Linked DNA regions of Arabidopsis thaliana. The protein of the gene in region 1 interacts with the protein of each later gene in a pairwise test. Each region holds a gene or a part of one and is shown in the gene's direction. Other genes may lie near its edges.

What was found.
Region 2: the proteins of AT2G16030 (region 1) and SWEET9 interact in a protein complementation assay, tested with the Arabidopsis thaliana proteins (one large-scale study listed by BioGRID).
Region 3: the proteins of AT2G16030 (region 1) and AT1G11330 interact in a protein complementation assay, tested with the Arabidopsis thaliana proteins (one large-scale study listed by BioGRID).
Region 4: the proteins of AT2G16030 (region 1) and AT1G05640 interact in a protein complementation assay, tested with the Arabidopsis thaliana proteins (one large-scale study listed by BioGRID).

The regions. Positions count from the first base shown.
Region 1 is NC_003071.7:6,970,943-6,977,905, reverse strand, and holds AT2G16030 (S-adenosyl-L-methionine-dependent methyltransferases superfamily protein), read left to right. Parts: upstream 1-2,898; 5' UTR 2,899-3,014; coding exon 3,015-3,710; 3' UTR 3,711-4,233; downstream 4,234-6,963. Other genes in the region: AT2G16040 (hAT dimerization domain-containing protein / transposase-like protein), read right to left, coding at 312-1,153, 1,583-1,889; AT2G16020 (uncharacterized protein), read right to left, coding at 4,320-4,550; AT2G16019 (uncharacterized protein), read right to left, coding at 4,624-4,734; AT2G16018 (uncharacterized protein), read left to right, coding at 4,388-4,789, 5,286-5,327; AT2G16016 (uncharacterized protein), read left to right, coding at 6,638-6,766.
Region 2 is NC_003071.7:16,304,318-16,311,768, reverse strand, and holds SWEET9 (Nodulin MtN3 family protein), read left to right. Parts: upstream 1-3,406; 5' UTR 3,407-3,562; coding exon 3,563-3,608; intron 3,609-3,837; coding exon 3,838-3,874; intron 3,875-3,948; coding exon 3,949-4,159; intron 4,160-4,290; coding exon 4,291-4,452; intron 4,453-4,539; coding exon 4,540-4,659; intron 4,660-4,750; coding exon 4,751-4,951; 3' UTR 4,952-5,278; downstream 5,279-7,451. Other genes in the region: EMB2799 (NAD(P)-binding Rossmann-fold superfamily protein), read left to right, coding at 131-303, 544-637, 931-1,041, 1,149-1,238, 1,364-1,449, 1,533-1,597, 1,679-1,788; EULS3 (hydroxyproline-rich glycoprotein family protein), read right to left, coding at 6,433-6,434, 6,672-6,900, 7,272-7,394. UniProt on the Arabidopsis thaliana protein: Mediates both low-affinity uptake and efflux of sugar across the plasma membrane. Nectary-specific sugar transporter required for nectar production by mediating the secretion of sucrose from the nectary parenchyma to the extracellular space.
Region 3 is NC_003070.9:3,805,954-3,815,442, forward strand, and holds AT1G11330 (S-locus lectin protein kinase family protein), read left to right. Parts: upstream 1-3,841; 5' UTR 3,842-4,418; coding exon 4,419-5,736; intron 5,737-5,830; coding exon 5,831-5,938; intron 5,939-6,025; coding exon 6,026-6,219; intron 6,220-6,305; coding exon 6,306-6,516; intron 6,517-6,614; coding exon 6,615-6,852; intron 6,853-6,922; coding exon 6,923-7,073; coding exon of another isoform or gene 7,074-7,100; exon of another isoform or gene 7,101-7,154; coding exon 7,155-7,463; 3' UTR 7,464-7,856; downstream 7,857-9,489. Other genes in the region: AT1G11320 (GDSL esterase/lipase), read left to right, coding at 1,288-1,398, 1,510-1,977, 2,080-2,775; AT1G11340 (G-type lectin S-receptor-like Serine/Threonine-kinase), read right to left, coding at 8,163-8,477, 8,561-8,705, 8,784-9,021, 9,119-9,329, 9,434-9,489.
Region 4 is NC_003070.9:1,684,735-1,692,870, reverse strand, and holds AT1G05640 (Ankyrin repeat family protein), read left to right. Parts: upstream 1-2,915; 5' UTR 2,916-3,369; coding exon 3,370-3,973; intron 3,974-4,072; coding exon 4,073-4,482; intron 4,483-4,565; coding exon 4,566-5,435; downstream 5,436-8,136. Other genes in the region: AT1G05650 (Pectin lyase-like superfamily protein), read left to right, coding at 745-1,182, 1,603-1,892, 2,041-2,269, 2,380-2,607; 5PTASE13 (Endonuclease/exonuclease/phosphatase family protein), read right to left, coding at 5,718-6,080, 6,163-6,523, 6,621-6,744, 6,890-7,157, 7,244-7,552, 7,884-7,968, 8,102-8,136.

The DNA.
Region 1 (6,963 bases):
AAATTAAATCATGGGAAAGCAGAAGAAAAGATGGAAGAAGAAGCAGAATGGTAACCCTAGATTTAGTGCCGGTCCGAGGATATTTGATGCTTAAAGCAAATTCAAAATTGATGCCCAAATATATTTTTTTCGCAAAATAAAATAATATGAAATTTATTTTGTTTAAGAAAATTGAACATAAAAATTGTTAACAAGAAAAAAAATAAATAGAAATCTCAGTTTTCTTCCTGGCGAAACATAATCCTCCTAGCTTTCGCTCCTGCAAATTCATTCATCAATTTTTGGTAATCGAGCTTCTCAACCAGTTCTTGTTATACAGATATCAGCGCCAAACCATTCAATCGCTCTTGAGACATAGTCGAACGTAGATATTTTTTTATGAGCTTTAATTTTGAAAAAGTTCTCTCCGCCAAAGCAACTGAAACCGGAATGGTGAGTAGTATACGATAAGCGATCCATGTGTTTGGATAACAGCTATCCATTATTTTCAAAAATTTCAACACTTCGACCGGCTTTGTAATCTCTTTTGGCAACACATCTTTTAAAAGTTTCAGCTCCATAAACAGATCTTCTCCATCAACATCTGAATGCACATCATGCTTCAAAGAAGCTTCAAGCTTCATACACGATGTCCTTAACTCATCATCTTCTGCTACCTTCAATCTCTTTACACCAAACAAAAATCCAAATATTTGTTCATATACTTGGAATTGCTCGAATCTTATCTCAATACACATTATAGCTTGATCCATTATATTGATGAAGTAATCAATTCTAAAACTCTCCTCTGCAATCTTACTTTCATCAATCTTCTCAACATCCTCAACAAATTGCTTTTTTTTTTTCACCGACTTTTTTGGAAATACCGGCGCAATCTTCATCTCAATGGCAATTTGTGTAGATTCAACTTTGGCTTTCTCGAAACCTGTTTCTTTGTAGTTTTTCAAATAAGTAACAAGCCCTCCTAACTGAGAAATAGCAACCTCAAGATCCATATCCTCAAACTGTAAGGATTTGCTTACTATATTCACAGCAGCTAGCAAATCGTACCAAATTATCATTCCAAATAAAAATTCAAACCCTCCAATTCCATGTGTTTCACTCTCTGTAAGAGACTCAACATCACTCCGGTGTCCTGGATTATCAGTGTATTCTGCCAAATAAAAAAGTGCATCTTGTATCTGTATCTTTGAAGCTTAATATCTTATTGGTTTAAGACTATCAATGCGGCTTTCCCAACGCGTTTGAGACAACGGTTTAAGTGTAATACCATTCACTGTTTCTCTAAACACTTCCCAATTGTTGGTTGAAGCTTCAAACAGACAATGTATTCGCTGAACAATTCCAAAAAAAGAAACAGCTTTCTTGGATGATGAAGCCATATCACAAAGTGCAAGGTTAAGACCATGGCATCCACATGGAGTGTAAAATGCTCTTGGATTTATATCAAGCAACCTTTTCTGAACTCCTTTATGTTTTCTCTTCATATTTTGTCAGTTGTCGTATGCTTGTCATCTTACATCATCAATATTCAACTTAAGATCAATCAATGCATCTTGAAGAGTCTTAAAAAGCCCCTCACCCCTCTTATCTTTGATGTGTAGAAACGTCAAGAAGAACTCCTCAATCTTAGGTGAACACGTTGAAACATCCACACATCGAATTAAGAAGGTCATTTGTTCTTTACGACTAACATCCGGAATGGAATCAAGAATGACTGAAAAATACTTCGCATCTTTAATCTTCTTTAAGATCATCATCTTGGTATCATTAGCAAGTAATTCTGTCAATTCATTCTGACTCTTATGACTGGGAAAATGGCAATGAATTTCACCTTTATTAGCCCGCCGAATGTGTTCCTTCATATCCGAATTAAAACCTCCAATCATTCTAATAAATGCCAAAATATTTCCACTATTTGGATCATCAACATTCTCTTTAGTTCCACAAAATGCTAAATTTTGTTTAGCTAGAGTCTTTACCACTGCAATTATTCTCACCAATACATCTCTCCAATGTTTTTTCTCCTTCTTAATTGCCTATTCCATATGGTTATCAATTGTTTTACTCTTTTGTAATCTCACTTCTAGCTCCATCCAATGAGTCATGGAAATAATATGACGATGAGTTGTTTCATGTCTTTTCAGCCTTTGCGCAGCATTTTTCCAGTCATTATACCCACTACTTGCTAACAATGTAGGATTTGTTTCTTGATCGAATAATTAGAGAGAAATTCGATCCGCTGATTTTTGAGGAATATTTGAATTTTGATTCTAAAAATAAGTGAATTCGAGTTTTGGTGACAAAGCAGCGCATTTGTTAGCTGATTGTATTTTGATTATTGATGCTATATAGACATAGATTTGTGCGAAAATTGAGGAACAAGAGAGAAATTTGATCCGCTAATTTTTGAGGAAGATTTGAATTTCGATTCTAAAAATAGATGGATTAGATCTGCAGCGTTTGTTAGTTGAATGTGTTTCGATTATTGATGCTAAATATACATAGATTTGTGCCAAAATGAGGAATTAGAGAGAAATTCGATCCGCTAATTTTTGAGGAATATTTGAATTTTGTTTTTAAAAATAGATGGATTCGAGTTTTGGTAACAATCGGCGGTGTTTGTTAGTTGATTGTGTTTTAATTATTGATGCTAAATAGACATAGATTTGTGTAAAAATTGAGGAACTGAGAGAAATTTGATTTGCTAATTTTTGAGGAATATTTGAATTTTAATTCCAAAAATAGATGGATTCGAGTTTTGATAACAATTCGCAGCGTTTGTTAGTTGACCATGTTTCGATTAATTATACTAAATCGACATAGATTTGTGGAAAATTGAGGAAATAGAGAGAAATTCGATCCGCTAATCTTATATGAATATTTGAATTTCGTTCCAAAAATAGATTATTTAGAGTTTTGGTAACAATCAACGGCGTTTGTTAGGTGATTGTGTTTTTATTATTGATGTTATATAAACATAGATATTTTGATCGGAGTTTTGATCGGCGACGATGGAGAGAAACGTCGAGAAGATGCTGAAGAGAGTATCAATAGTGTTCTTAAGCATCGGAACAGTATTAATGGTAATTATGATTCTCCAGACACCAAAAACTTGTATTTCTCCAGAAGCTCCATCGAAACCTCATACGCATTTCCCGAGATCTACATGCGATTCATCGCCTCGTCAGCATCTTCCTCTCCCAAAGAAGAACGCTCGAATCTGGTCCTCTGGAGCTTGGAAATCTCGTCTATACTCCTTCTCTACCTACTTCCTCCGATTTCGCGATCTCGGATTCATTCAAAATCACACCAAAGCTCTCTGTCTCTCCGCCGGAGCAGGCCATGCTCTGATGGCTCTTTCTCAGATCGGATTATCTGATGTTACCGCAGTTGAATTGGTTGATTCGATTCCTCTTGTGAAAAGAGCTGATCCTCATAACCTTCCGTTTTTCGACGGTGTCTTTGATTTTGCCTTCACTGCACATCTAGCTGAAGCTCTGTTTCCGTGGCAGTTTGTGGAGGAGATGGAGAGGACGGTGAGACGTGGCGGATTTTGTGTGGTTTCGGTTGATGAATGTGGTGGAGATGATGTAAGAGACATTGCTAGGCTTTTTCATAACTCCAAGGTCGTTGATGTTGCTAATGTAACCTTAGAAGGATCCAAAAAGACTAGTATACTATTCAAAGTTCAAGACTCTCCTACCTGAGGTGTTTTATTTCTCTTTTGATTTATAGGCCCTTTCCGGATTCTCAGAAAACTGCTTCAATATTCATAGAGTGGAGCTAGATTTGTTTCTGTTGAAATTCACTTACATGTTTGAAAAGCAGGAGATTTAACAGATTATGTGGTAACATTGTTCAAAGACCATGACCATATTTGTTCTGGATCCTAAAGCAATGTTTTGTTGAGGGAAGCTGCGATGTTTGTTGCGAGTTCAAGATCCAGAACAAAAGCTTTCTACAGGTTAATATCTTTTTTTTTGGAAGTTGGTCTCTGAGCTAAACAATTCTTAGGAACCTTGGTCGCTTTTGAAACAAGTAAAGAACTTTCAACAGCTTTTGAAGACTTTAGTGTGTGATGAAAGAAAGTACTTTCTTTCCAGGTGAGGTTCACGTTTCAATCTGTTAGAGCTCTCCTGTGTACTATTTGTGAGTTAAGTAAAATACTCTTTAGTCATTTTGTATACTTAGAAAGAACAAAATTCTTATTGGTGAATAAAAGGCTCTTACTAAAAAAAAAAAAAAAAAAAAAAAAAAATTTTCTCTCAAGCAAGATAACCAAGGTAGCCGCAAGCCTTGTTCGTGATTAGTTCTCTTCACCGGCGTTGCTCCTCTGACTGCCTGCGTTCCTGATTGTAGCTACTACTAAAGTGAGATCTCTCCAATGAATCTACTTTTCCGGTGGCGTAATTGTTTTCCGGCGAGTCTTTCACTTGAAATGACTTTCCTTTTTCTCTCGAATGCGAGCCACTCTCGTCGCTTACCGTCGTCTTCGGTCGCCTTCCTCCTTCTGAGGCCACCTTGTGCACCACCACCAGAGCCTCCATCTCCGCCGACTCCACCGGAACCACCGGATCCACCAGATTCTCAGATCTGCTTCACTTTTGCTGATTCTTATGCTCAGTCGTTGAGCTCCTCTTCCCTCCCAGATTTGGTCTCGCTCATTCTCCATATCTCCTCCGCCATATCTGAATCTCCGTCACCGACCTCTTCGATCACTGATTTTTTCATTGATGTTTTCCTTCTCGCCGACGACACCACTTTTCTTCCTCAGTATTTCCCTCAGGTTTGCTCTTACTCTTCGCCGTATGTTTCTTCTAAGATTGGAAGGGTTTGGTTGTTGATAGAGTTTGTGGCTCTGGTTTTGTGGAATTTGGGTTTGTGTAATTCATATGTAGCTTATCTAGTTTCGATTGGCTTGGATACTTTTGTGCTCTCTTGTAGCACCTCTATCGCTTTGATGCGATCACTTACCACAATATGTGGATGTCTTAATTCGCCTTTGTTAAAAGTTGTCTCATCGCAGCTTAGACAGAATGTTTTGGATACTTTTGTGCTCTCTTGTAATACCTCTATCGCTTTAATGCGATCTTTTACTGCAGTATGCGGATTCTATCTCGATTTGTTTTTGTTAAAAGTTGTCTCTTCGCAGCTTAGACGGAGGGCTTTGATTTCAGACAACCTACCAGTTTTTCTGGTTCATTGGGGATTTCATAGCCCTCATCTCTCCTTTATGGAGCTTTTTATCCTCTCAAATACTTCACTTGTGTTTAGTGATAAAGTTACAGGGAGCATTGTGTGCAATACTGATCTGCTTGAAGTAGAAGCGAGGATTGTTGTTCAAGACTGTTCTCATTCAGCCTTTGCCGATTGTTTGACGTTAGTGTCATTGGAGGCTTTGTTTCCTCCTTATTGTGGTTTCGACAAGGTCTTCCAAGCTAAAGGTGTTTGCTTTTTTGGATGCTCTTGGTTAGTTGCTGCTTTGCTAGAACCTTTGGGTTCACCCTTGTCCCCAAGTCTCTTTTTGAGCATTGTTGTTGCTAGCTTTCGCTTATGTTTGATCTCTATGTTTGTCGATGCTTTAGCTTTTCCGACTTGTTGTTGCTATGTTGTATCCTCTGTTGGTAGAGGTTAAAACTCTTTCTCTTTTATGATAAGATAAGTTTGCCCAAAAAAAAAAAGACATAGATTTGTGCGAAAATTGAGAAAGTAGAGAGAATTTCGATCCGCTAATTTTTGAGGAATATTTGAATTTTGATTTCAATATAGATGAATTAAAGTTTTAGTAATAATCAGCGGCGTTTGTTGGTTGATTGTGTTTTTCTTATTGATGCTAAATAGACATATATTTGTACGAAAATTGAGGAACGAGAGAGAAATTCGATTCGCTGATTTTTGAGTAATATTTGAATTTTGATTCTAAAAATAGATGGATTCAAATTTTGGTAACAATCTGCGGCGTTTGTTAGTTGATTTTGTTACGATTATTGATGCTAAATAGACATAGATTTGTGCAAAAATTGAGGAAATAGAGAGAAATTCGATTTGCTGATTTTTGAGGAATATTTGAATTTTGATTCCAAAAATAGATGGATTCGATTTTTGCTAACAATCTGTGGCGTTTGTTAGTTGATTATGTTTCGATTTTAGATTTCTATTCGATAAGTGATGCTAAATAGACATAGATTTGCGCGATTCGCTGATGAATTTTTGAATTTCGATTCCAAAAATAGAGCGCTTGATTTTTTATTCTGAGTAAACTAATTTTGTTTATGGAAACTCATATCTCTCTGATTTGGATAATTTCAGATCGGACTGAATTTAGAGGACGGCATCAGAAGAAGAAGGAAGGTGGCATGCCTAACACATACAAGGCATGTCACGGTTTCGACAAGTACGTACGCTTCATATATAGGTGATTTAGGTGACAGCCCAGGACCAGGAGGAGCTGGGCTTTCTTCTTAGCTTTTCTATTGACAAAGATCTCCATCTCAGAGATTCTCTCGTGCTATCTACTCTTTTGGTTTGCTTGCTTTCTTAAACTGCGGTCATTGAATGTCTTGAAAACCCACTCTAGATACTACTGATAGTGTGATTGTTTCTGCTGCGTTTGTCTAGATTGTTTGCTTTGTTGATGCTATGTTTTTCTCCGGTCTTTTGGGTACTGATGCTTCTTTCAGCTCTTTATCTTGGTGGTGGTTTTGAAGCTAATAATGATATAGACAAATATATTCAGAATAATGCTTTTGACTCGTTTTTCTAGTCTTTTGGGTACTGATTCTTCTTTTTTGTTGAGAGATGATGTGATTGATGTTTGGATTTTATAACTTGAGAACATTGATGATGAAAATAATATTAGAATTGTGTTTAGTTTAGTCTGAAACTTGAATAACTACTCAAAAAAAATCCGTTGATCCAAGCTTTCTTCTATCAATGAGTCGAAAGTAATGTATAAGCAAT
Region 2 (7,451 bases), 9.3 Mb from region 1:
GTCTTGAGTGTTTATCAATATGGTGTGTGTGTGGATAGTGACTAGTACTTTTTCTTCACAACGTATATATAGTAAGAGTCATGTTTTTCACAATATGGAAGTTAGAGTTAGAGCTTTATATGTGGAGCAGGAACATCCAGAGTCTCAAATCTTTGGGCAGACAGTAACAACAAATCATCATGGTGAGTTGGAGAATTTGGGTATCAAACCATCTCTTAAAGGAACCGAATATGGGGGAAAGTTCTCCTATGTGATCTTTTGTGCTCCACCATCACAAAGCGCTGATTATGCTGGTGAAGTCAGGTGATTAATTACAAAAAATCTTATGTTTTAATAACTAGAAAGTCAATTTATGCATTATGATCTGTTAGTGAATGCCAGAAATGTCGACTATTGTGCGCTTGACTTTATTAGCTGGAGAAGAAAAATGAAGCTAAACGTCAATTTGTGCTTTTTAGTTCATCCTATGTGACAACAGTAAAAACATTTGCCTTCATTCAACTGTCTAATATGTGTGTATGCTTGTGTTTACAATCGGATCAGGAATGCAGCATCAAACTGGAATGGCGAAGGATCATTCTTATTCACATCTAGTTCTGCACCTTATGATTGCTTTGATAACGGAGAATGCAACGAGGTTTGTCTCAGCACCTGAATACCTATTTTCTTTCAGTTTTCTCCATCCTAAAATTCCTAGTTTTAGACTTTAACACCACATTTAGTATTATTCTATATCAAAGTTGTTTAACACAATTACTTGTTGAGGTAATTTGGGGAAAAGAGTCTCTCACATTTAAAATCTATGAAAATCAAGTATACAATCAATAAAAAAATTTGATATTTGAGACCACAATGCAAATTCTTGTTCATTGTGAATATATATATGTGCTATTCAATAAGAATTTCTAAGTTCGTTACCCTTCACTGCAGGATTCTCCAGTAGTGCCACTGGGAAAGAGTCCAAGAACTGATGTGCTTTTGAAAGCTGAAAAAGTAGTGTTGGAATGTGGAGGGACTGTCCTTAGACTAGCAGGGCTTTACATATCCTTTTGGATTTCGATACTGAAACTGAATGAGCAAGTATTGAAAGACTTTTTTCTTGGTCTGTAGAAGATTTGAGCATTATGTTTCTCCTGAACTTTTTATACACAGAAACTAGAGGTGCACATACTTACTGGTTGAGTAAGGAGACAATTGATGCTCGTCCTGATCATATTCTAAATCTCATACACTATGAGGTATATTTGTGATTTTGTTCACTCTCATAACTAATTAGTTGATCTGCAGATTGAACTCATTTTCTAGAATGGCAGTGTACTATACATTAGTCTCTTATCAGGTTCTCTAATGTGTTTTTGAACAGGATGCAGCATCGCTGGCAGTTGCAATCATGAAGAAGAAAGCCGGTGCTCGGATTTTCTTGGGTTGTGACAACCATCCTTTGTCAAGGTAATGCTGCTTTCGTTCTAACTTTGAGATTACTTTCTAACTTTTGATGAGACATCAAATGTTTGACCCCTCACTCTTCTCAGGCAAGAGGTGATGGACCTGATGGCTCAAAGCGGAAAATTTGATAAGAAGTTCAAAGGTTTTACAAGTGAGTTTCTTCAGACATTGACATGTAGTTGTCTTGAAAAACCTTAAGCTTCATGGAGTCTGACAACTTTGGCTTTTGTAGGCACCAGTGGTCCTTTAGGGAAGAAGCTGAACAACTCTAAGACACGAGCGGAGATAGGATGGGAGCCGAAGTATCCAAGCTTTGCCCAATTTTTTGGAGTATCGACATAATATTTTTACTTGGATTGATTAAGAATGTCTCTAGCGCTGAAGAATCCAATAATGTGAAGCATTATTTATGTTTGGTACAAACAAACTCATGTATCCTCTTGAGTGATCAAACAGCTGAAATTTTCAGAATTCTTCATAAAGCTCCATGGTTCATATATATAAATCATATTTTGTTAATTTACTTAATACAGTTAGCAAATGGGTTGAGAAGTAAATAATCAACGCAAACTTAATCAGTTTGAATAAAATATATAAACGTGGTTAGATCATAATAATAAAGCATCTTATAAATCATCTAATTAGATGGATTTTAAAGGTTTCTGTCAAGATGTAAAAGCTTGTGTCTTGTTCATTACCAAATTAAGATTCTAACAAAGAAATAGGCCAAACATACGAGGCCTCAGGTATGAGCCTAACAAACACATCCATGCCTCCATCTCACCCACATAATTTGATATGAAGGTTTCATTATACCTTTATTAATAAAAATACTTAATTCATTAACATGTTCACAAATCATCTCATTGGTGATATGTGCAAGCAAATAATCTTATCAGTTATCACATTTGGTTTCTTAACACCAGTTATGGAAGGTTGTTATAAGTTACACAATGTCTTATAATTAGGGTGATGGCCCATCACTGATGGGTGATGTTTTATCTATATATAAAAAAATCTTATATTAATTTGGCTATATACAAACATTGAACCAGATTCAGAGGGTTGCTAGGCGTATGATATGTCTGAAGTGATTAATTCGACTTTAAGAAATTTGTAGCCTAATGCAAAAATACTTTGTCGGATTTAGAAGGCCTAACAATTAGGAACAACACCTAATGCAAGACGTTCCAACCACCTGATTATTTATTTAAGTTAAATGTCACTAAATTTCTAAACTGCTCCGCAAGTTTTAGGGTTCACACAGAGTTGACACTTTTTGCATTGCATTTTGGGCCTTCATAGAGAGATGAGGAGTAATTACTAATTAGCTTTGTTTTCCGATAAAACTTGTGAAGAAATGAAAATGATATGTATATGTCTAAGAAAATCACCAAAGCTTGAGACAATTGATCTCATCCTAAAAATATCTCACATTATGCAACAAAATGTCTCCACATGTTATATTTACAAAATCATGAGTAACTTGGAGACGACATTGCAAATTAACATCATTGACATCAGTAGATACTCCATCGCAAATTGTCAAAAATCACAGCTCCATATTTTCAGGCCTAAAATTAACCACCGACCATACATCCCGTATTCTTAATATCGATATTGATTTTAAATGAAAGGAACTCATCGCTTAAGACAAAAAAAAAAACAAAAAAAAAAACAAGAAAGAAATTCGAAGTTATGGTTTCCTCGATCAGAACAAGTATTAAATTTGCATTAAAATTGGTTTAATAAAACGAGAAACTAAAGAATTTGCTGGTTGGCAAACTAAGAAGTCAGAAGTCACCAGCAATTTACAGCCAATCAGCTATGCAAAAGTTATACTATTTGCTACTGAGTGATCACATTATATTGTGCAGAAAAAAATAAAATCCAGGAAAACTTGAACCAAACTTTTGTTTTTTTGTTTAAAAAGAGAAAGAAAGAAAATTAAATAGGGGACAAAAATGAAAATGCAAGAATGACTCACTTTTTTTTTGGTTTAAGGGTTTATAAGAATGACTCACTTTTTCTCCAAGACCAATATAAAATGGAGGTTTGCATGAAGAAACTATAATTCAAAGCAGTCAACTAGCAAGAGAAAGAGAGAAAAGTGAAGATGTTCCTCAAGGTTCATGAAATTGCTTTTCTCTTTGGTCTCTTAGGTAATTTATTTCCCTTATTCTTTTATGCTTTTGAGTTATGGTCAGAATATGTAAATAAAATCAACAATAAAAGTGACGTATCATATATTTCCAACAGAGTATACATGTTCTTTATTTTTTATTTTTTATTTTTTGAACAACAGAATACATGTTCTTTATATTACTTAACATTTATACCCAAAATAAAGAAGTTCATAACACTAATATTGATTCTGGCTTTTGTTTTCAGGCAACATTGTGTCTTTTGGGGTGTTCTTGTCACCAGTGTAAGTTTCTAACTCGAAATGCTATATATTAAAATAGTTTATATAAAGTATTTGATTAATTATACATATTTTAGGCCAACGTTTTATGGGATATACAAGAAGAAATCATCAAAAGGGTTTCAGTCGATACCGTACATATGTGCACTAGCAAGTGCAACTCTTCTTCTCTACTACGGAATCATGAAGACACATGCTTATCTGATCATTAGTATTAACACCTTTGGATGTTTCATTGAAATCTCCTACTTGTTTCTCTATATCCTTTATGCACCAAGAGAGGCCAAGGTTCCTATAATTATATATTTCTATTTATAGTATGGTTGATATTTTTAGTATGTACACCTCTAGTTTCAAAAATCTTGATTGTGATGAAACTCTATATCTACAACTAATTAATCTGGTGGTACACTTGGCAGATATCCACGTTGAAGTTGATAGTGATATGCAACATCGGTGGACTTGGTCTCTTAATTCTTCTAGTTAATCTTTTGGTTCCAAAACAACACCGCGTCTCGACCGTTGGATGGGTTTGTGCTGCCTACAGTCTCGCAGTCTTTGCTTCTCCCTTAAGCGTCATGGTGATGATCCATCTATCAGCTTTTCTTCAAACATCTGCCGTTTTTTGTAGTGAATTGGAAATTAATATACAATGTGTAATGTTGCAGAGGAAGGTTATAAAGACAAAGAGTGTGGAATACATGCCGTTTCTTCTCTCCTTGTCTCTCACTCTTAACGCCGTCATGTGGTTCTTTTATGGACTTCTTATCAAAGACAAGTTCATTGCTGTAATATTAATTGACATTTTCACATTCATCTTTCAATATTCTAACTAGTTTTTGGTTACTAATAAGTCTCTCTATGTCGCTTTGTATTCAGATGCCAAACATTCTCGGTTTTCTATTCGGTGTAGCTCAGATGATACTATACATGATGTATCAAGGTTCCACGAAAACGGATTTGCCAACAGAGAACCAACTAGCAAATAAAACCGATGTTAACGAAGTCCCGATCGTGGCCGTTGAATTGCCTGATGTGGGATCAGACAATGTTGAAGGATCGGTGAGGCCAATGAAGTGAAGGGCAAACATGCATGGGGAAGATGTATGGGAGACGACATGTTATCGTATGTTGGAATAATAAACTTTAATTTCTATGTTTTGTCGGTTTGAGTCGGTCTAACCAAAACCAATGTTATATTGTTTTGACTTTTGATCATCACCAACCCTTGATAAAAGATAATCTAGTCTACGGTATTTAAGTCTATGTCGATGCGTACCTAAGCTAAGCTCCATGGAACTATCAGTTAAAATGCTTTAACAGTTGGAACTGAAAAAAATAATCAATCTAATCCAAATGGTTGTACAATCAACAGATGGAATAAAATATTTAGATGAATTTTCATTATTTATTTATTTATTTATAGTGGAACCACAGGAAAAAAATATTATAACTAATTTTGCTTGAAAAAGTTGAATTATAAGTTTTCTTTAATACATTGTTGGATATAATCACATTATTCTTCTATAATCCTATCCCATTTATGTGATCTATTTTATTCATCTTTTTACTAATTTCTCCCACTTTTTATTTTGGTCGGCACTAATTTGCTCTAAGGCTCTAACAACAACAAATCTTTACCATAACCAAGTTTTGATGTCGGCACAAAAAAAAGACTGAATGTGTCATAAATGGTTGCGTTGAGAGTTGAGACGTGTTGGTATCCTGCATGATTGTGCCGTGAGAGTCTGACTCATGCAGCAAGGACCTCGCTTTTCCGCAGCCACAGAAAAACAAGCTGATTGGTTCTGCTTTATGATTCCATTATTGAGCTCCCAAGAAATTGAATGTCATTTCTACGTTAGCTAATGGTTGTGTCGTTTTTTTTTATGGGAGTAGACTTGGTAGTGATAGGGCCAGATTTTTCATTTACCATTTCCCAAGAAACTGACGTAAATTTTAGTAATCTACAGTCCAGCCAAGAACAAGTTTTTGTCTATTTTATCGTTAAATTTTGTTATCTGATGATGACAGATTTACAGATAATATAGTTATCTTTTATAATGATCTTCGCTAAATTTATTTATAATCTGCATAATTCAATCACGTCGTCGAAGATTTCCGATAATTCGTAGTATTTTATAAGAATCAAATCTCAAGATATATTGTAAAAATCCTAAATAAACTTTTAGTCCAAGCAAAAACTGTACTCCTTCACAATTTAAAACAGAGACAGCTATCACAGAAATGCAAATAAACGTGCGCGAAAGTCTGCTAAAATAAACTAATCAACATAATTCGATAACAATCTGTCGTTTATATCTCCCAAAAGGAAAAAGAAAGATCTCAAAATAGATTAGGAAAAAAGTATACACATATAGACAGTGTATGTAATGTATCTGTAAAAACATACTTGGAATACAAGTAAGATAGATTACAGATGCCAACAGCACAAACTCAAGTCTTTACAAGACACAAACAATGAATAAATCTGAGTTTTGTTTCTTTCTTATTCATACAGCACACACAAAGGAACTTTTTACCACTCCAGACGCCAATTTTCCTGCATTGACAAAATTCAGTTAAAAAAGGTTAATAATTTGGTTCAACATATAGTTAACTTAAGACTCTTGAAATTAAATCGAATCGAACCACGACGTCAAAGTCGTCGATACATTAGCCCATTAGAGTTCTAGCTCTGGTTTTGACCATTGCCATTTCAAAGTTTATCTCATGGTCTCTAGTTTGATGCAAGATTAACAATTTAAAAACTAAGCAGAAACGGTAAAGAAAAGCTTACAGAAAGGAAAGATCTTCCAGAGCTGGTTGTCGCCTTTGTTCCAGTCCCAGAGGACGATAGTCGTGCCATCACGTACACCACCAGATTTGCTGTCACCATGATATGCATCCACGTTTAGCCTCGTATTGTTTACCATTCTTATTGTGCGATATCCATCGCCAAAATCCTTGCTCTCTGTCCATAGTACTGACTCGTCAAGCTTATCAGGCACATATCGAATCAGATGCACCTGCAATACCCAATAAAATATTGCTTAAACACATCGAGCCTATCGAAAAAACACAATGCAGAATCACAGAAGTAAATTAGCAGACTTTAGTTAGAGTTTCTTCTAGAGACCCTAAACTTTCCAAGCCTACAAAACCATTCTCATAAATTCTTGATGCTCCTCTCTGTTTCTTTTCTTCCTACTTAAAGTCCCTACTAATGTTTTGATGTGGAATTTTCATAAGAAGTGAATAAAATGCACGACCAATATTTTTTTCAGGTCCCATTCAAGGTTATGAAAACTAACATTTAGCTAAGGTTGAGAAGATGTCACACTGGAAATAATGAAAGTCACAGGACAAAAATGACATCGTCTAAGAAAGAAACGCTTACGGGATGAGTAGCTCCCACAGAATGCTTCATTGCTTCACCAGTAGCTTTGTTTACAAGAGCAAAACAAGGATGACCGTCTGCGTCCTTCACTTTAGTACTATACTTCTCGTCTTTGTACCAATGCTGCGCATCCGAAACCATTTCATGAGTATGATATAACACATACATCAAAATTAGAAA
Region 3 (9,489 bases), on another chromosome or scaffold:
AAAAACAGATATGTAAATTATACATTATTGTTAATTGACAAACCAAGTTGCAAACTGCAACTAATCACATAGAGTTTAAAAATGTGATAATTAACGGAACGCTTAAGATGGACATGTAATTATATATTAATGAACTGAATCAAACAAAAACTAAAAACATTTATTGCTTATGTGGTTGATGAGATATTTGTTTTAAGCAACATGATCAAATGAGAATGTGAAGACGTGTTAGTCACATATGAATATGATTTATAAAAGAATCTAAGACGACATAAATGACTAGATGGTGGAAATAATGTGAGGCATCTTAATTTCCTTTTCATGCATCTTAATTTCCATATAATCCATAAAAAATGTATCTTATATGGTATTTTTCTCAATGAACGTTTTGTCCAATGGGCTAGAGACAAATATATCCTCCACTCTTTATAACGGAACGGGCTAACAATAAAAAAACGAAAGGAAAATTTGACGTCATCTTTTCTATTGTCACAAGAAAGACATCATATTTTCTATCGTTTTGTAGCATGTTACGTTTCAGATTGTTTTAGACTTTGTTTCTTAACTTGTCCTAATAGTTTACTCTAATTGTGTGAGTCTTTTACGAGTTTTACACGTACTTATAATATTTTTTAGTCAAGATTTCTATATTATATTTTCAAAGTTATGACCTAAAACTATCATTTTCGCTATATTAAATAAAGAAAATCACATTTCAGCTAACTACCTAAAGGACCTTATGAGGTTTATTCTTTCTTTTTTTAAGAAGACCCGATCAATATAATCAACTTTCTCACGACGACTTTCCAAAATATCATTGAAGTCAACCTTCACTGAAGCAACTAACCATATGCATCGTCCAGTTCAAGATTCTGCAATGCGATTCAATCGTTACCACAACTTAAGATCGAAACCGGACATTAGAACCCCTTTGTTACTTCGTCGTACATTCGTCAACTATATCCTTACCTTTGGTATCCTTCGCCTTTGATACAATGATACCAAAAGAAAAGAAGAAATAATCAGAAATAATCAATTGTTCTGGTTTTAGGTTGACCAAACTCTTTAACCGAAATAATCAGAAATTCGAAAATAACCGAAACGAACCGACGTAAGAAACCGGATCGTCCAATTCCAGATTTTGAAACCAAAATCCAAACACATAAACCCTAAAACATTTTCGCATCTTCTCTATTCAAATCCTCTTATCATCGATAGAAATGATCATCACTGGGTTCGAAATTTTCTAGAATCTTCAAGCTTTCCTTACCAGTTTCTGATTAAAAGATGGACCCAATTGCTTCGGTGTTGGAGAAAGTGAAGAGCTTTACGAAATCGAGCCAGGATTTAGTCTCCCGCCATTTCGGCTTCCATGAGAATCCTTCTCGCCTGAATCCGGTATCGTTATCCATCCCCTTTACTCATTTTGTTCTTAAAATCAACTTTTTGTTTGAAATGTGATGTTGAATTTGAGTTTCTGCATTGTTGGTTTTGGGAATTATGTTGCAGATTGATATCTTGAAGCGATTACAAAGAGAAACATTCTCGGATTTGATGAAACTTAGAGAAAGACAAGAGAAAGTAGAGCGGATCATTTCCTCGCAGAAATTATCGAAAGGAGGTCCCTTTCAAGAGACTAGCACTCATGTGAGAGGTGAAGTTGATGTGCTTGGAGCTATATTGCTGATGGGAAACACTGACGAGGAAAGTTTCAATGGACTCAACAAAGAAGGAGTGAGACCGGGATTGCTTTCAAGGTTTGTGTTTGAAACGAGTCTTAGGGAGACAGATAGGCTTGTGGCTGAGCTTGTTGCTGGATACAATGGGGCAGGAAGTCACAGGGATTTTTTAGGAGGAGAGTTGTCTTTAGCCAAAGTCTTCTACAAGGCAGATATTAATGATTGGTTCTCTGCTATTGCTATTCCTGTTGGCGCGCATTTCAGAGACATTGAGGCTTCTACTGTGTCTTCTTACCAGGTATCCACCAATCGTTGCAGATTTCTGTTTCTATATTTGTTGTGTTTCTCATAAATAATCGTTATTGATAAAACTACAAATACAACTACCTTCGTCTTGCAGGGAATGAGTCTCACAGAAGTTTCTGAACTTGGACCACCTCTTTTAAGCCAACATAATGGGAGCGCCATAGGGTTAACATTCAGAAAGTCAAATATCACAGCTTCACTGGCTCAGTCTATGTCAAACGTTGAAGTTGAACAGGGTTTGACTGCACCGAATCGTTGTTTCAGAACATTTGGGCAAGTAACCTGCCACATTCTCAGAAGTTTAAAGCTATCTCTATTGGGCTGTCACCAAGTTTTAACATCATCTAGCAATCTCCATTCTGTTGGAGCCATTACAGTTCCAGTAAGTTTCCTAAGGCGCCATACTGCTACGGAGCCTGAACCATCAGCACCGCCTCTGGAGATGAGTAGAAACATGAATCATGTGTCGTCCAGTTCCATTGCTTTGAAGTTAGACTCTCTAATGGACGAGTCTACAAAACTTGGGGGATGGATTGAAATTCAGAACTCAAGAGAAAAGCAAGTGAAATGGTCAGTGTCTATTACAGACAACCCAGAGGATGAAGTGGGCTGGGGCATGAGCGTTGGGGGAGTTGTTGATGGTTCAAGAAATCATGATCAGTTTCAGGTGGAATCATATCTGAAATTCAACATAGGCGATAGGTTTAGATTAAGTCCATGTCTTGTTTATCACACAAACAGTGACGGAAGAACCATAGGTCTTATGCTAAAGTCTCACTGGTCGCTGTGATCTCAAGTTTACTCATTACTTGTACATTGATGGTTCGAATTACCACTGACTGCAGTTTTGAGATTTTTGTGTCTAATGCAATTTATTTGTCTGAAAATATTTAATGTAGCTGCCATTTTTGTGCCTTGAAGATAAAAGTTTATTGTCTATCATCGCTTAGAAAAATCTTTGTTGTCTTGTTAGTAATTGTTTCCATCTGTGTTGGAATAGTACACTAATTTGCTTTTTTTTTTATTGTAATGGTAACAAATGTCGTAATGCTTATTTATGCTTAGGGAGAAGTAGAATAACTGAAGATTGATCTATGATTAGTATGTCTTGATTGCAACGTAACATAGGTTGTGGCATTTTAAAGATTATTTGAAAGAATTCTTCTTAAACAAGATGTGACTGTACAACAGTTTGATTGATGTTGTCATGTTGAGAGCTACGTTGTGACCCTCTGTCTCATGAACATACAAATTCTCTAGACTTTTCATCTGTCGAAGTCAATGACCTTTTTCTCAGGTCTCATTTGATACAACAAAGTCCTATGCAGAACGCAATGGCAATATGAAAAAAAAAAAAAGAGAGGTAATTTTGTTCTCCATTTCCCTTTTATTTTTGCTCAAAGATTTGGCGTTTTGAGTCAATTAGACTTTCTAATAATACTAGTTTCGGCTTCTGTCGTTTTAGATGTCATTACTCATCAGTCATCATTGTGATTTGTGAATTGTGTGGCTTTCATTGGTAAGTAAAAAACTTAGAACGTCCATACAAAAAAATAACATGTTACCAATATAAAACAAATTAGGCTTCACATAACAATTGTATCAAGGGCAATATCCCCACCTAATTTCTCTATTCAATTTTTTGTCACCATCTAATAATTCTTTAAAAATTGCAAATTTTGGCCTCGTGGCACATTGTCTCGTATTTGCATGCAAAGTCAAAAGTATGTGTTGTTCGATAGAGACCACATCCTTTTTTAATACAAGATAAATTTGTTTGGTAAAAACCTTTCTCATAGTTTAAAAAAAAACTTTCTATTCCGTTTCAACTGAACAGAAATCGAATCTTTTGTACACTTCGTTTAGGCATTTCATGTGATACATTGTGTGCTTGCCTCAACAAATTCCAAATTAGCTACCCACAAAAAGATTTGCGACCTAATCCAATCTAGAACGGCATGACATAAACAAATTCAACTCAAATTCCTCAAACTTTAACGACGGCAAAACACCAAGTGGGCTGTGAAACACGCGTTCGTTTGTATCACCAAGAATGAGAACAGAAAAAAGTAATATTTGTTTTCAAATGCTATAATCTGCAAATAAAACAAGTGTACTCGAAATGTATAAACAATGACCCCATTGAAATCGCACTAAGGCAAGTAGTCCTCTCGCTTTCAATCGTTTCCTCTGCATTTAAAGAAAAGTCAAGATTGGTGGTTTATTCCACTCTCACTGCTAATTGGTGGGCTATTCAATGAATCCACCTAATAACATTATTACTCACACCAAAAACAAATCTTCGTTGAAACATAAAACTTTTACATCATTTTCTAAGTCAAGTCTTCTCATAGAGACAGAAAAAGACTACTAATTTACCTCTCGTGTAGGAAAACAAAGCAAAACTGGAGTCATTCTCTGTTTCAAAGAGTTATGGTGGTTTCAGTGACCATACGTCGTCGTTTTGTTCTTCTTCTACTTGCATGCACTTGTTTGTTGTCTCGGAGACTCTGTTTTGGTGAGGACAGAATCACTTTCTCAAGTCCTATCAAAGACTCAGAGTCAGAGACCCTTCTATGCAAAAGTGGTATTTTCAGGTTTGGTTTCTTCACTCCTGTTAATTCCACTACTCGGTTACGTTATGTTGGGATTTGGTACGAAAAGATTCCAATCCAAACTGTGGTTTGGGTTGCTAACAAAGACTCTCCCATCAACGACACTTCCGGTGTTATCTCGATCTATCAAGATGGAAATCTCGCGGTTACCGATGGTCGAAATCGCCTTGTATGGTCGACGAATGTCTCAGTACCAGTAGCTCCAAATGCTACTTGGGTTCAGCTTATGGATTCTGGGAATCTTATGTTACAAGACAACAGAAACAATGGTGAGATTCTTTGGGAGAGTTTCAAGCATCCTTATGATTCTTTCATGCCAAGAATGACTCTTGGCACCGACGGTAGAACTGGAGGTAACCTAAAGCTTACTTCTTGGACAAGCCACGATGATCCTTCAACAGGAAACTACACAGCTGGTATTGCTCCTTTCACGTTTCCTGAGCTTCTTATCTGGAAGAACAATGTCCCAACGTGGCGTAGCGGACCGTGGAACGGTCAGGTTTTCATCGGTTTACCGAATATGGATTCACTTCTGTTTCTTGATGGGTTTAATCTTAACAGTGATAATCAAGGAACGATCTCAATGTCTTATGCTAATGATTCGTTCATGTATCACTTTAACTTGGATCCTGAAGGAATTATTTATCAGAAAGATTGGAGTACTTCTATGAGAACTTGGAGGATAGGTGTAAAGTTTCCATACACAGACTGTGATGCATACGGTAGATGTGGTCGATTCGGGAGCTGCCATGCCGGGGAAAACCCGCCTTGTAAATGTGTTAAAGGGTTTGTTCCAAAGAATAACACAGAGTGGAATGGTGGTAATTGGAGTAATGGATGTATGAGAAAAGCTCCATTGCAGTGTGAAAGACAGAGAAATGTAAGTAATGGTGGTGGTGGAGGAAAAGCAGATGGTTTTTTGAAACTGCAGAAGATGAAAGTACCAATCTCTGCGGAACGGTCTGAAGCTAGTGAACAAGTTTGTCCTAAAGTATGCTTAGATAACTGTTCTTGCACAGCTTATGCATATGATAGAGGAATTGGATGCATGCTTTGGAGTGGTGATTTAGTTGATATGCAATCATTTTTGGGAAGTGGCATTGATCTTTTTATTCGTGTTGCTCATTCAGAACTCAGTGAGTGAAATATATCTAGTAGTTCTCACTTTGTTTCCTTCTCCATTTTTGTTTTCTTCACTGACTTAAGTTTTTACTTACCAACTTTTTGTAGAAACACATAGCAATCTAGCAGTTATGATCGCAGCACCTGTGATAGGCGTTATGTTAATTGCTGCGGTCTGCGTTCTTTTAGCATGCCGGAAATACAAAAAGCGTCCAGGTTAGAGTTTTGTTTATTCATGAATGTTAGATTCTGATTGTTTCTTTTATCATAATTGTTTTGCTTCATTGATCATTACCTTAGCAGCTCCAGCGAAAGATAGAAGTGCAGAGCTAATGTTTAAGAGAATGGAAGCACTTACAAGTGATAATGAGTCTGCTTCTAACCAAATCAAGCTCAAGGAGCTTCCACTCTTTGAGTTTCAAGTGTTAGCTACATCAACTGATAGCTTCTCTCTAAGAAACAAGCTCGGGCAAGGCGGGTTTGGTCCTGTTTACAAGGTAAAATCATAACAAAAGAAGTTTTCTGGAGGGAGATATGTGTACAAATTATCTCAGACTAAGTGATTGGTAATCTTTTTTTTTAGGGAAAATTACCTGAAGGACAAGAAATTGCAGTGAAGAGGCTCTCACGGAAATCAGGTCAAGGACTAGAGGAACTTATGAACGAAGTGGTTGTGATATCTAAGTTGCAACATCGGAATCTAGTGAAGTTACTTGGATGTTGTATTGAAGGTGAAGAAAGAATGTTAGTATATGAATATATGCCAAAGAAAAGCTTGGATGCATATCTTTTTGGTAAACTTATCACCTCTAACTCTCTTTTTAACTCTGTTTATACCGTTTGGCTCGGGATGATTATTGAGAAGGCTAATGTTTTTGCTAACTTTTCTCAGACCCAATGAAGCAAAAGATTCTTGATTGGAAGACTCGGTTCAACATAATGGAAGGAATTTGCAGAGGTCTTTTGTACCTTCACAGAGATTCAAGACTAAAGATCATACACAGAGATTTAAAAGCCAGCAACATTTTGTTAGATGAGAATCTAAACCCCAAGATATCTGATTTTGGACTTGCAAGAATTTTCCGAGCGAATGAAGATGAAGCTAACACAAGAAGGGTTGTTGGAACATAGTAAGTATCCATTCCAAAATACACAACAAACATTACGAAATTCGGTTTTATTCAAATATTGTTATTGCAGCGGCTATATGTCACCGGAGTATGCAATGGAAGGTTTCTTTTCAGAAAAATCAGATGTTTTCAGCTTGGGGGTTATATTTCTCGAGATCATAAGTGGGAGAAGAAACTCTAGTTCTCACAAGGAAGAGAATAATCTCAACCTTTTGGCTTATGTAAGTGTTACAAAGCAGTGTTTTTAGTAACTTATGGTTAATCAAGATTCGAAACTTACCTTAAAGACTTGGTTTTTACAGGCTTGGAAGCTGTGGAACGACGGTGAGGCTGCTTCTCTAGCAGATCCAGCCGTCTTTGATAAGTGTTTCGAGAAAGAGATAGAGAAATGTGTTCATATTGGACTGTTATGTGTGCAAGAAGTTGCAAACGATAGACCAAATGTTTCAAACGTGATATGGATGCTAACTACCGAGAACATGAGCCTCGCCGATCCGAAGCAGCCAGCGTTTATAGTAAGAAGAGGAGCTTCTGAGGCTGAATCTTCTGACCAGAGTAGTCAAAAGGTATCTATCAATGATGTGAGCCTCACAGCTGTAACAGGACGTTAACCTCACCACCACGCCAATCTCAGTCTGTTTATATACATAATAGTATGTAATATACACGTTTTGAGAAACTCCTATGTTTACAAATTTTGTTATCTGCGTCTGTGCAATGGTTAGATTACTGAAATAAGAACAGAGAAGTTATTTTCAGGTTTATGAACTTTGTTGAAACTTGACCTATTCTTACATATAATCAGATTTTTGGAATTAACTAACCTGGATGAAGAAACTGAACCTGAAGAAAACAGGACAAGAACAAAAATCCGTTGTTCTTGAGAAAAAGCCACAGCACATAGGTTTTGTCTTGAGAAGAAAGAATTAAAACACAATTATTGGTTTTGTGTATTGGTTGCTTTGCTATAAGTATATGTATATTGGAACAAACTTGGATAGGGGATAAGAAAATAACATCAGTTTTGACTTTTTCGAAGATACATTAACTACATAACAACCTTGAATTTTCTGCACAAAATTATTTTATAGCAGCGAAGAAATTTCCTTTTTGTGTTTTGTTTTTAGCAATGGTTTTATTATTAGTCATTTTCTTTCTTTTGTTATCAGTACTTCAATAAATAAGTTTTGTCAAAAAACCAGTCTCATTACACAAACTTACAGAGTTAATAAGATTCCTGATTCCTGTAACTGATCCTCTAGTCTTCTTCTCTTCTTATACGAAAAAAAGTAAAACATTTGGAAGTTGTTTTAACGACCTTGAATGTCGCTGAAGGTAACGTCATTAACAGAAATACCGGTTTGTCCCTTAAGACAAGCACCATTTTCACCGCCTCTCCTTCTCGCGGAAGTAAACGCAGGATGCTTTGGATTCGGAAGATTAGTGGCGTTATGACCCAACATGATGACAACAGAGGACATGTCTACTCTGTCCGAAGCGTTTTCTTGCACACAGAGCAACCCAATTTGTATGCACTTCATCACTTCTCTCTCATCATAAGTCTCTTGGTCCATTAAATTGTCTATGATCTCTGTTGCTTCACCGTTTTCCCATAGATCCCAAATCTACAAGACGGAGAAACATACATTTACTTATGTTCTGTTTTTTTTCCTCTGTTTTTGTGTAAAATTTTCAGTTATGTACTTACATGTCCGACTAAGTTAGATGATTCCTCGTGGAAAGCACTGTTTTTCTTTCCGGTTATGATCTCTAACATCAATACTCCAAAGCTATAGACGTCGGATTTAATGGAGAACTGTCCCTCCATTGCATACTCCGGTGCCATATATCCGCTGTGCAACAAGATTGAAACAGTTTAAGGTTGTAAGATTTTGGACAGTTTTGTGGTGTTTCAGAAAAGAGTAACTCACAATGTTCCGACGACCCTACTTGTGCATCCTTCCATTTGGTTGCCCCCAAAGATTCTAGCCATGCCGAAATCTGAAATCTTTGGGATCATTTCACTGTCAAGAAGTATATTGCTGGCCTTGAGATCTCTGTGGATGATTCTCAGTCTTGAATCTTGATGAAGATATAAGATTCCACGAGCAATCCCTCGGACTATCTCCATTCTTTTTGGCCAATCCAACTCTGCTCTCTGCTCTTCATCTAGCATGATGATAAGAAGAAAGAAACAAGAAAATTCAGAGTCATTGATCTTCCTGAAAGGGAGAATTTGAACCTGAGTTAAAAATGTTGAACGTACGGAATATGAAATAGTCTAGGCTCTTGTTTGGTAAATACTCGTATACCAACATCTTCTCTTCCAATTCAACGCAACATCCTAAGATCCTCACGAGATTTCGATGCTGCAACTTTGATATCAGCTTGACCTCGTTCTTGAACTCTTCCATTCCTTGTCCCGAGTTTCTCGACAACCTCTTCACCGCTATCTCCATACGGTTTTGTAACACGCCCTAAGTAGAAACAAAGGAAACAATATTCCTTACTACTTATTGAACTTAATAGTGTTCTCTCTTGGAGGAGTATTGATGAAAAATGGATATTGCCTCTTCATTACCTTATAAACAGGTCCGAAACCACCTGCTCCAAGCTTGTTTTGGGAAGAGAAGTTAT
Region 4 (8,136 bases), on another chromosome or scaffold:
TTCCATGATCATTTTACCTTCTTGGAGAAAAGTAATACTTTATTGATAAAAAGAATACTCTAAAGATTAGGATAGATATTATTCATTTAATTTTGTTACTACTATTTTTTTTATAAAGAATTCCTATTTTTATGGTAGTTCTTTCAGGAGTTTGTAAATTTTGTGTCGATAACAAAAAAAAAAAAAAAAATCAACTCTGCACTCTATAGGGGTTTTGGTTGAGTTTCTTTCTCTTAGTTTATGGCTGAGTTTCTATTTATGCACAAATGATAGTTTTCTTCATTTAGTATTGTTGGTTCTCTATAGAATTAACGTTATATACGGTTTATGTTCTAATCAATCGCTGAGTGGGTTTCCACGTATTTATTTTGTTCATCAATATATAAAAACAACATGTACCAAGAATATAATACATATACACATACGTATATGGCCCATGTTATATGGGAAATTGATAATGTGCAAAAATGTCATCGTTCATACAACGACCGTTGCTCCTAAAAGTACGATATCAACCATGTGTGCACCTAATGATTGGAAATGTAAACTCTTTTATCAATCATAAAATATTCACAACCTCTTATCATATAGATATCACATGTACTTAATTGTACCATAGACTCCAATAACGAACCAAAATAATTATGCTCTCTCTCCCTATATATACCCATGCATCAAATCAAATCAATTCAAACACAAACACAAACACAAACACAAACATAAACTCAAACTCACATATAAAAAATGACAAAATCAGCTATAACATTTCCACTTATCTTCACACTTCTCACCTTCATCGATGTCTCGAGCAGCGCCTCCATTGTTTTCAACGTCGTGAGCTTCGGGGCCAAACCAGACGGAGTCACCGATTCCACAGCAGCATTCCTAAAGGCATGGCAAGGGGCTTGTGGCTCGGCAGCATCAGCCACGGTGGTGGTCCCCACGGGGACATTTTTGTTGAAGGTAATAACGTTTGGAGGGCCATGCAAGAGCAAAATCACATTTCAAGTGACCGGAACCGTCGTTGCTCCGGAAGATTATAGGACCTTTGGCAATTCCGGTTCCTGGATTCTCTTCAACAAGGTTAACAGATTCTCACTGGTCGGTGGGACTTTTGACGCTCGAGGTAGTGGGTTCTGGTCTTGCCGGAAATCTGGCCAGAATTGTCCTCCCGGTGTTAGGGTACATATGCTTCTCCTCTATCTATAGTTATTGTAAATAAAAACAACAATCTGACATTCATACATAAGCGCCACCAGAATGCAAAAGAGCAACAAATAGCTTTAATCATTATTGATTAGTAATAACTAAATAAGTCAATATATTTTTTTTAATAGTCAAATAACATATCTTTATTCCAATCATTTACTTACGATTAAAAAAAAAAAGGAATTAGTTGATAGTTTTCAACTATATTAATTCAGGCACATTTAATTTTCAATATGATCTATCCATGCCATTTTTAGGAATTTATTTTATAAGCATATAATAACTATTATGATAATGATTTTTGGACAAGGAAATGGATTCTTTGGTCAAAATAAAATGAAATATTTATAATCTTATTATTAATCTATGGCGTTTATATATTAATTACTGTAGTCAATATCGTTCAACTCCGCAAAAGACGTGATCATAAGTGGAGTGAAATCGATGAACAGCCAGGTTAGCCATATGACCCTCAACGGTTGCACCAATGTGGCCGTCCGTAACATTAGGCTGGTGGCTCCCGGAGACAGCCCAAACACTGACGGCTTCACCGTTCAGTTCTCCACTGGAGTCACATTAACCGGAAGCACCGTTCAGACCGGAGACGATTGTGTTGCTATCGGTCAGGGGACCCGCAACTTCCTAATTTCCAAGCTTGCTTGTGGCCCAGGTCACGGGGTTAGGTATACACCACCGTCTAATTCCTTAGAGTAAATTATGTAAATATATCATTAATTGTTAGGAATCATGAATTTCCAACAAAAAAAAAACTAGCAATATTGCCTTCACTCACTCTGGTCACAACTCATATGATGATGTGATGACTGGCAGCATCGGGAGTTTGGCAAAGCAGTTAAACGAAGACGGAGTAGAGAACGTGACAGTATCGAGTTCGGTATTCACCGGATCACAAAACGGCGTGAGGATAAAGTCATGGGCGAGGCCGAGTACCGGATTCGTTAGAAACGTCTTCTTTCAAAATCTAATCATGAGGAACGTCCAAAACCCTATCATAATCGACCAAAACTATTGTCCGTCCAACCAAGGTTGCCCTACTGAGGTATATCCATATCATATTTTTGATCAATTTCAGACTAATCAAATATGCTATATCAAATTATCAACTTAGTCAAATAACTAAAGATTTATTATGTTTATGGTATGTATTAGCATTCGGGGGTGAAGATAACCCAAGTGACGTACAAGAACATACAAGGAACTTCGGCGACGCAGGAAGCAATGAAGCTGGTGTGTAGCAAGAGCAATCCATGCACGGGAATCACATTACAAGACATAAAGCTTACTTACAACAAAGGAACTCCTGCTACTTCCTTGTGCTTCAATGCTGTTGGGAAAAATCTTGGTGTTATTCAACCTACTAGTTGTCTAAATCGATGAATTTATTTGGGGTTAAGATGATATCACTGTGAAATGTTATTAGGAAACTGATTTTTCAAATAGTTTTCTGTAACAAGGTATATGATCACCAATTTCTGTAACATACAATTTTTTTTTTTTTATTAATAAAATATTATTTTCAGTAACCAACAAAGTGGAAGACTTTGACTTGTTGTCACCATCACATTGTGCTTTTGCTTTTTGGTCTTTGATTTGGACAACAAAAATATAAAGAAATTAGAGAAAAGAAGCTTTAACTGGATATAAAGTTTTAAACTGGAGATAATTGACATAGTAATTAAGAATTTGTTGCTTCAAAACTCAAAAGAAAAAGTAATCACTAATATTACTAAAGATTTTGGAAGTTTAGCGAAATTAATAAAGAAAACAGCTGAAGATGCAGTCACTCATCACAGTCTCTCTCTCTATCTCTATATCCTGAGAATCTTACATGATTTGCCCACAAAAAGCATTGAGATTTACAAATCAATCTATTGGGTTTCAGCTACACTCTACTGAAATCAGCTGCAACCTTTTTTTTTTTTCTCTCTCTTCTTTCATCACATCGGTTTGAATCTTTACAAGAAATCTGGAAATCACAGGGAAGTCAGGGTTTTCCATTTTCAAGCTGGTTCTGTTATTACGAAACACGGGTTGCTGGAAAAGAGCTCACGGATTCTTCAAACAAAGTTGGCATCTTTCAGATTTGGGAGAAAAAGTTGTTATTCAAGATCTTTGTGTAATCTAAGGGAGAAGCATACCATGAGTTCTCTGGTTCCTGTTATGGAGAAGCAAGAGAGCGTTCGAGGTAACTCTGTGGAGGAACAGCAGAGTCTCAGATGCGTTGGTGCAGAGAATCAGGTGAGAAAGGGAAGAGCTTTGGACAAGCAAGTTAGTTTCCTAGCTGTGAATGTTGTTGAGAAACATGGAATCAAAGGAAGAGCAATGGAGAAACAGGAGAGGGCAATGGAGAGGCAGAGAAGCTTTCGTGGGTTTGTTGAGAAGCAGAAAAGCTTTAGGGTAGTAATGGAGAGACAGTTAAGTTTCATGAATGTTGGTGGTGAGAGGAAGAAGAAGACTGACTCACCTGGTAAAAGAGGAGATTCTCCTCTTCATCTCGCAGCTCGAACGGGGAATTTGGGAAAGGTTATGGAATTGATTCGAGCTTGTAACGGCATTGAAGAGTTGAAGGAGTTGTCATCAAAGCAGAATCTAGAAGGAGAGACCCCTCTTTATAGTGCAGCAGAAAATGGGCATTCATTAGTTGTTGAAGAGATGTTGAAACATATGGATCTTGATACTGCATCAGTTAAAGCTCGCAACGGTTTTGATCCTTTCCATGTCGCTGCAAAACAAGGCCATATTGGTAAATGAAACTTTAGAGAATCTGATAATAACTTGAAGACCTTGTTATTGTTGTACACCTTCTTGACATATATCTTTGAATGTGTGCTGTCTTTTGCAGAGGCATTGAAGAAATTGTTGGAGACATTTCCGAATCTGGCTATGACGGTGGATCTATCGTGTACAACTGCATTGCACACGGCTGCTTCACAAGGACACACTGATGTGGTGAATCTTCTTTTAAAGACGGATTCTCATTTAGCTAAGATAGCTAAGAACAATGGTAAAACCGCACTTCATTCTGCAGCGCGAATGGGGCACAGAGAAGTGGTTAAGTCTTTGATAGGTAATGATGCAAGCATCGGGTTTAGAACTGATAAGAAGGGACAAACAGCGCTTCACATGGCTGTCAAAGGTCAGAACGAAGGGATTGTTCTTGAGTTGGTGAAACCTGATCCTGCGATTTTGAGTGTTGAGGATAGTAAAGGGAATACGCCGTTGCACACTGCCACAAACAAAGGCCGTATTAAGGTATCATCATCGCTAATTCCCCCTCCCCTCAGTTTCTCAATCTACAAGAATTCTGATGAACTGCATTTTGCCTTTGCTTGCAGATAGTGAGATGTTTGGTATCATTTGATGGAATTAACCTTAATGCTATGAATAAGGCTGGAGATACTGCACTTGATATAGCCGAAAAGATTGGAAATCCAGAGCTTGTGTCGGTTCTGAAGGAAGCAGGAGCTGCAACAGCTAAAGATCTTGGGAAGCCTCGAAACCCGGCTAAGCAACTTAACCAAACGGTCAGTGACATTAAACACGAGGTACAGTCTCAGCTCCAACAGTCTCGCCAAACGGGTGTTAGGGTGCGGAGAATCGCAAAGAGACTGAAGAAGCTTCACATCAATGGTTTAAACAACGCTATAAACTCTGCAACCGTTGTGGCTGTCCTAATTGCAACAGTTGCATTTGCAGCAATCTTCACCATTCCTGGGCAATATGAAGAAGACAGAACAAAGGGACTGTTGTTATTAGGAGAAGCCCGCATAGCCGGCAAAGCCCCGTTTTTAGTCTTCTTCATATTTGACAGCTTGGCGCTGTTCATATCTTTGGCTGTTGTTGTGGTGCAGACTTCAGTTGTGGTGATTGAGCAGAAGGCAAAGAAGAATCTTGTGTTTGTGATCAACAAGCTCATGTGGTTGGCTTGTTTGTTCATATCCGTAGCCTTTGTTTCTCTTTCGTTTATCGTTGTGGGTAAGGAGGACATTTGGCTGGCGATTTGTGCAACGATTATTGGCGGGACGATTATGCTAACCACGATAGGTGCAATGTGTTACTGTGTGGTCATGCATAGGATCGAGGAATCTAAACTGAAAAGCTTAAGGAAAGAGAGAAGCAAATCGAAATCTTTCTCACTATCTCATATGCCTTCAGAGTCAGAGATTCTCAACGGCGAATTCAACAAGAGAATGTATGCACTCTGAGACTAAAATCTCCAGAACAGGCAATTTAGTGTAAGAGTAACAAATGTATACATGGGTCACGTACCTGTAGTTTAGATTCAAGTGAGGAGATACAAAAGTTGAATACATGCTACCTGAGGAACAGTCTCAAAGCAAATCTACAATTTCTGACACAAAATGAATTTTCTAAAGAATCAACGAATGAATAAAAGCGATTCTTCACCTGATGCATTTGTCTTGTGATGACTTTGTTGTTCTTCTGCTCTAAGATCTAGTTAAAACTGTCAAAGTCACAAGAGCTCATCACCGGCTTTTACCTCGTCTAACCGAGTCTTCAGTTCTTGGTCTAGTGCTTCCATTACGGGTAATATCTGTTGGGTAACGACGTGAACCACCTAAGTTCTTTGTTAGGTTCGTGGGTCTGTTCTCAAGGAGACATACTCTGGCTGAGAAGCAGTGACGGACTTTGACAGAGTGGCTTCTCAATGTTGTTGAGCAGCTTCCTCGAATGTTCACCATCAGGATTGCTTCTTTATCTCGAGTGTCTTCGCACCACCAATTCTGTGGGATGCCATCAACATATTCCTCCATTGAGTAAAAATCTTCGTGATGAACTTTAACGTCTACGGATCCTTCTGGATTTATTATCCCTGCTGCGGGAGAAACCTAAAAGAAAAAAATTCTTGTATATCACTAAATCTTGAATACTACAAGAATCTTCATTTGGCGTCAAAAGAGAATTTAATACCTCGAGCCAGCGTGGTAGACCAAAGGAGCCTCGTGGATTGTAGTCAGCATCTTCTCCGTCATCCTTAACTACAGCCTGGCCACCGCACAGAATGTTAAATATGGCTTGGCTCGTGGGTGAATTGTTTGTGATTGTTAGGATGACTGTGTCCTGACTCTGAAGAACAATGTTGTTGGTGCTCACAGAAGTTTCTGGAACAAATCTTAAATCTTCGAATATGGATAAAATCTTCTCATTAGACCTTATTATTTTCCCCAGTTCCTGTCTCCGCACAGATTTATCAACATGAGCTATTGTCGCATGAAATTTGCAGCGCACGGGTTTGTGATCGCTCTCAGTAACATCCATGCAAGCTTCATACCTGTTGAAACACGCAGGTGGGAAGTTAGAATGGAGAAAACACATTGAAGAGACCGGAAAAAGCGAGAAACATCAGAAAGGTCGTCATGAAACCATACATTATGACTGATGAAACTACAGGGCATTGCAAATTGCTCTCAGAGAATGGGCTAGATTGAGTGTCTCTATATATAACTCGGTCACACCACGCAGGAATTCGCTTTTTCTCCCCTGAATCATATCCTGGAGAGTACACAGCACAGAAAGATTCAGTTTTTTTGGAGCCACCATCTCTTACAAAACAGAGGAAAAAATGCAGAGAACAGAGCAGAGCAAAACTGCTTCAATTTTTTCAAATTCATATCTTATGTATCAAATCCACTTTTACCTCCAAGGCCTGAGCGATTCCTTTCAAATTTGTAAGTGGGAGGGAAAGTGATTAATGCCTCGCGCATTCCTTGGAAGACTTTTCCAACCTTCATCTCTGCTCTAAGTTGGTCTCTTTCTCTGAGCCAATCGAAGGATCGCTGTGAAATGAAGTCCCTTGCTTCATCATAGGTTATACCAAACAGTCTATAGTTGAAATCGCCAAAAAATGCGACCATGTCTGCTGCTGCAAGATCAGACTTGATTTCTTCAGCGCCGGTGCTTGGAATCTGGAAAACAGAGAAACATGTTAAATACAAATTTAAGGAGCAAACAACATAAACTCAGGAGTAAAGGTGATATGATAAGAACATACAGTGTTACTCTTTGTTGTATAAGCTGAAGTTGAGACACCAGCTGCAAGAGAGAGGGCCCATGGCAAACCAGAAGAATAAAGCAGCCAAAATAAATATGTGGAAAAGCCAAGTGAGCAAGACAAAAACAGGTACGGCACCATACCAGCTGCAGCGTTACTTAGATTTTGTCCTCGGGAAAAGACCATCAATCGAAAAATGTGATTGAAATCTGCGTTTCTGCGATTAACCGCCTCCAAGTGTGCAGCCAAGTGGCAATTCACAAAGCACATTATTCGGTCATAAACTCTGATTCTCAGACCTACACCTCCCTATTTGACAAGTAGGACATTAATGCGTGTAAACGGAACAAGTACCTCATAGAGAACTAAATTTGAATTAACATCTATATCGCATTGTCATCTACATCTTAGCCAGATAGAAGAGATTACACATTGTGGCAAAAGGCTAAGTTTTTTCCTGTAATTGTGTTATCATTCAGTGGGTCATAAACATTGTAAGTAAGCAACACATTTCATATATAACTTTCTCATTTGCAACTTCACAAGAACAAATAAAAACTGAAGTACTGAATCCTAAAGGCCTGAATGTATGTAGTATCATAATCAGATTTGAAGAAGTGGGAATTGAAGTAAGACATACCTTGTTGCCAATGGCACGGCCAAAACCACATGGAACTGCTGCAACATCAAGATCTCCAACATGAGTTCTAATATCCTTCCTCGCCCTAAAGCAGAAAATTACAGCACACAATAGGTTGGTTAATCATAGATGATACACAACTGCTGATTGGAAACCTTGCAAAAGTGTTGAATGACAAGCACGAGAATGCAACATGTCATGACAGAACATTCACTTACCAAAGAGATATCAGAAGTCCTGCCAACTGCCTTGA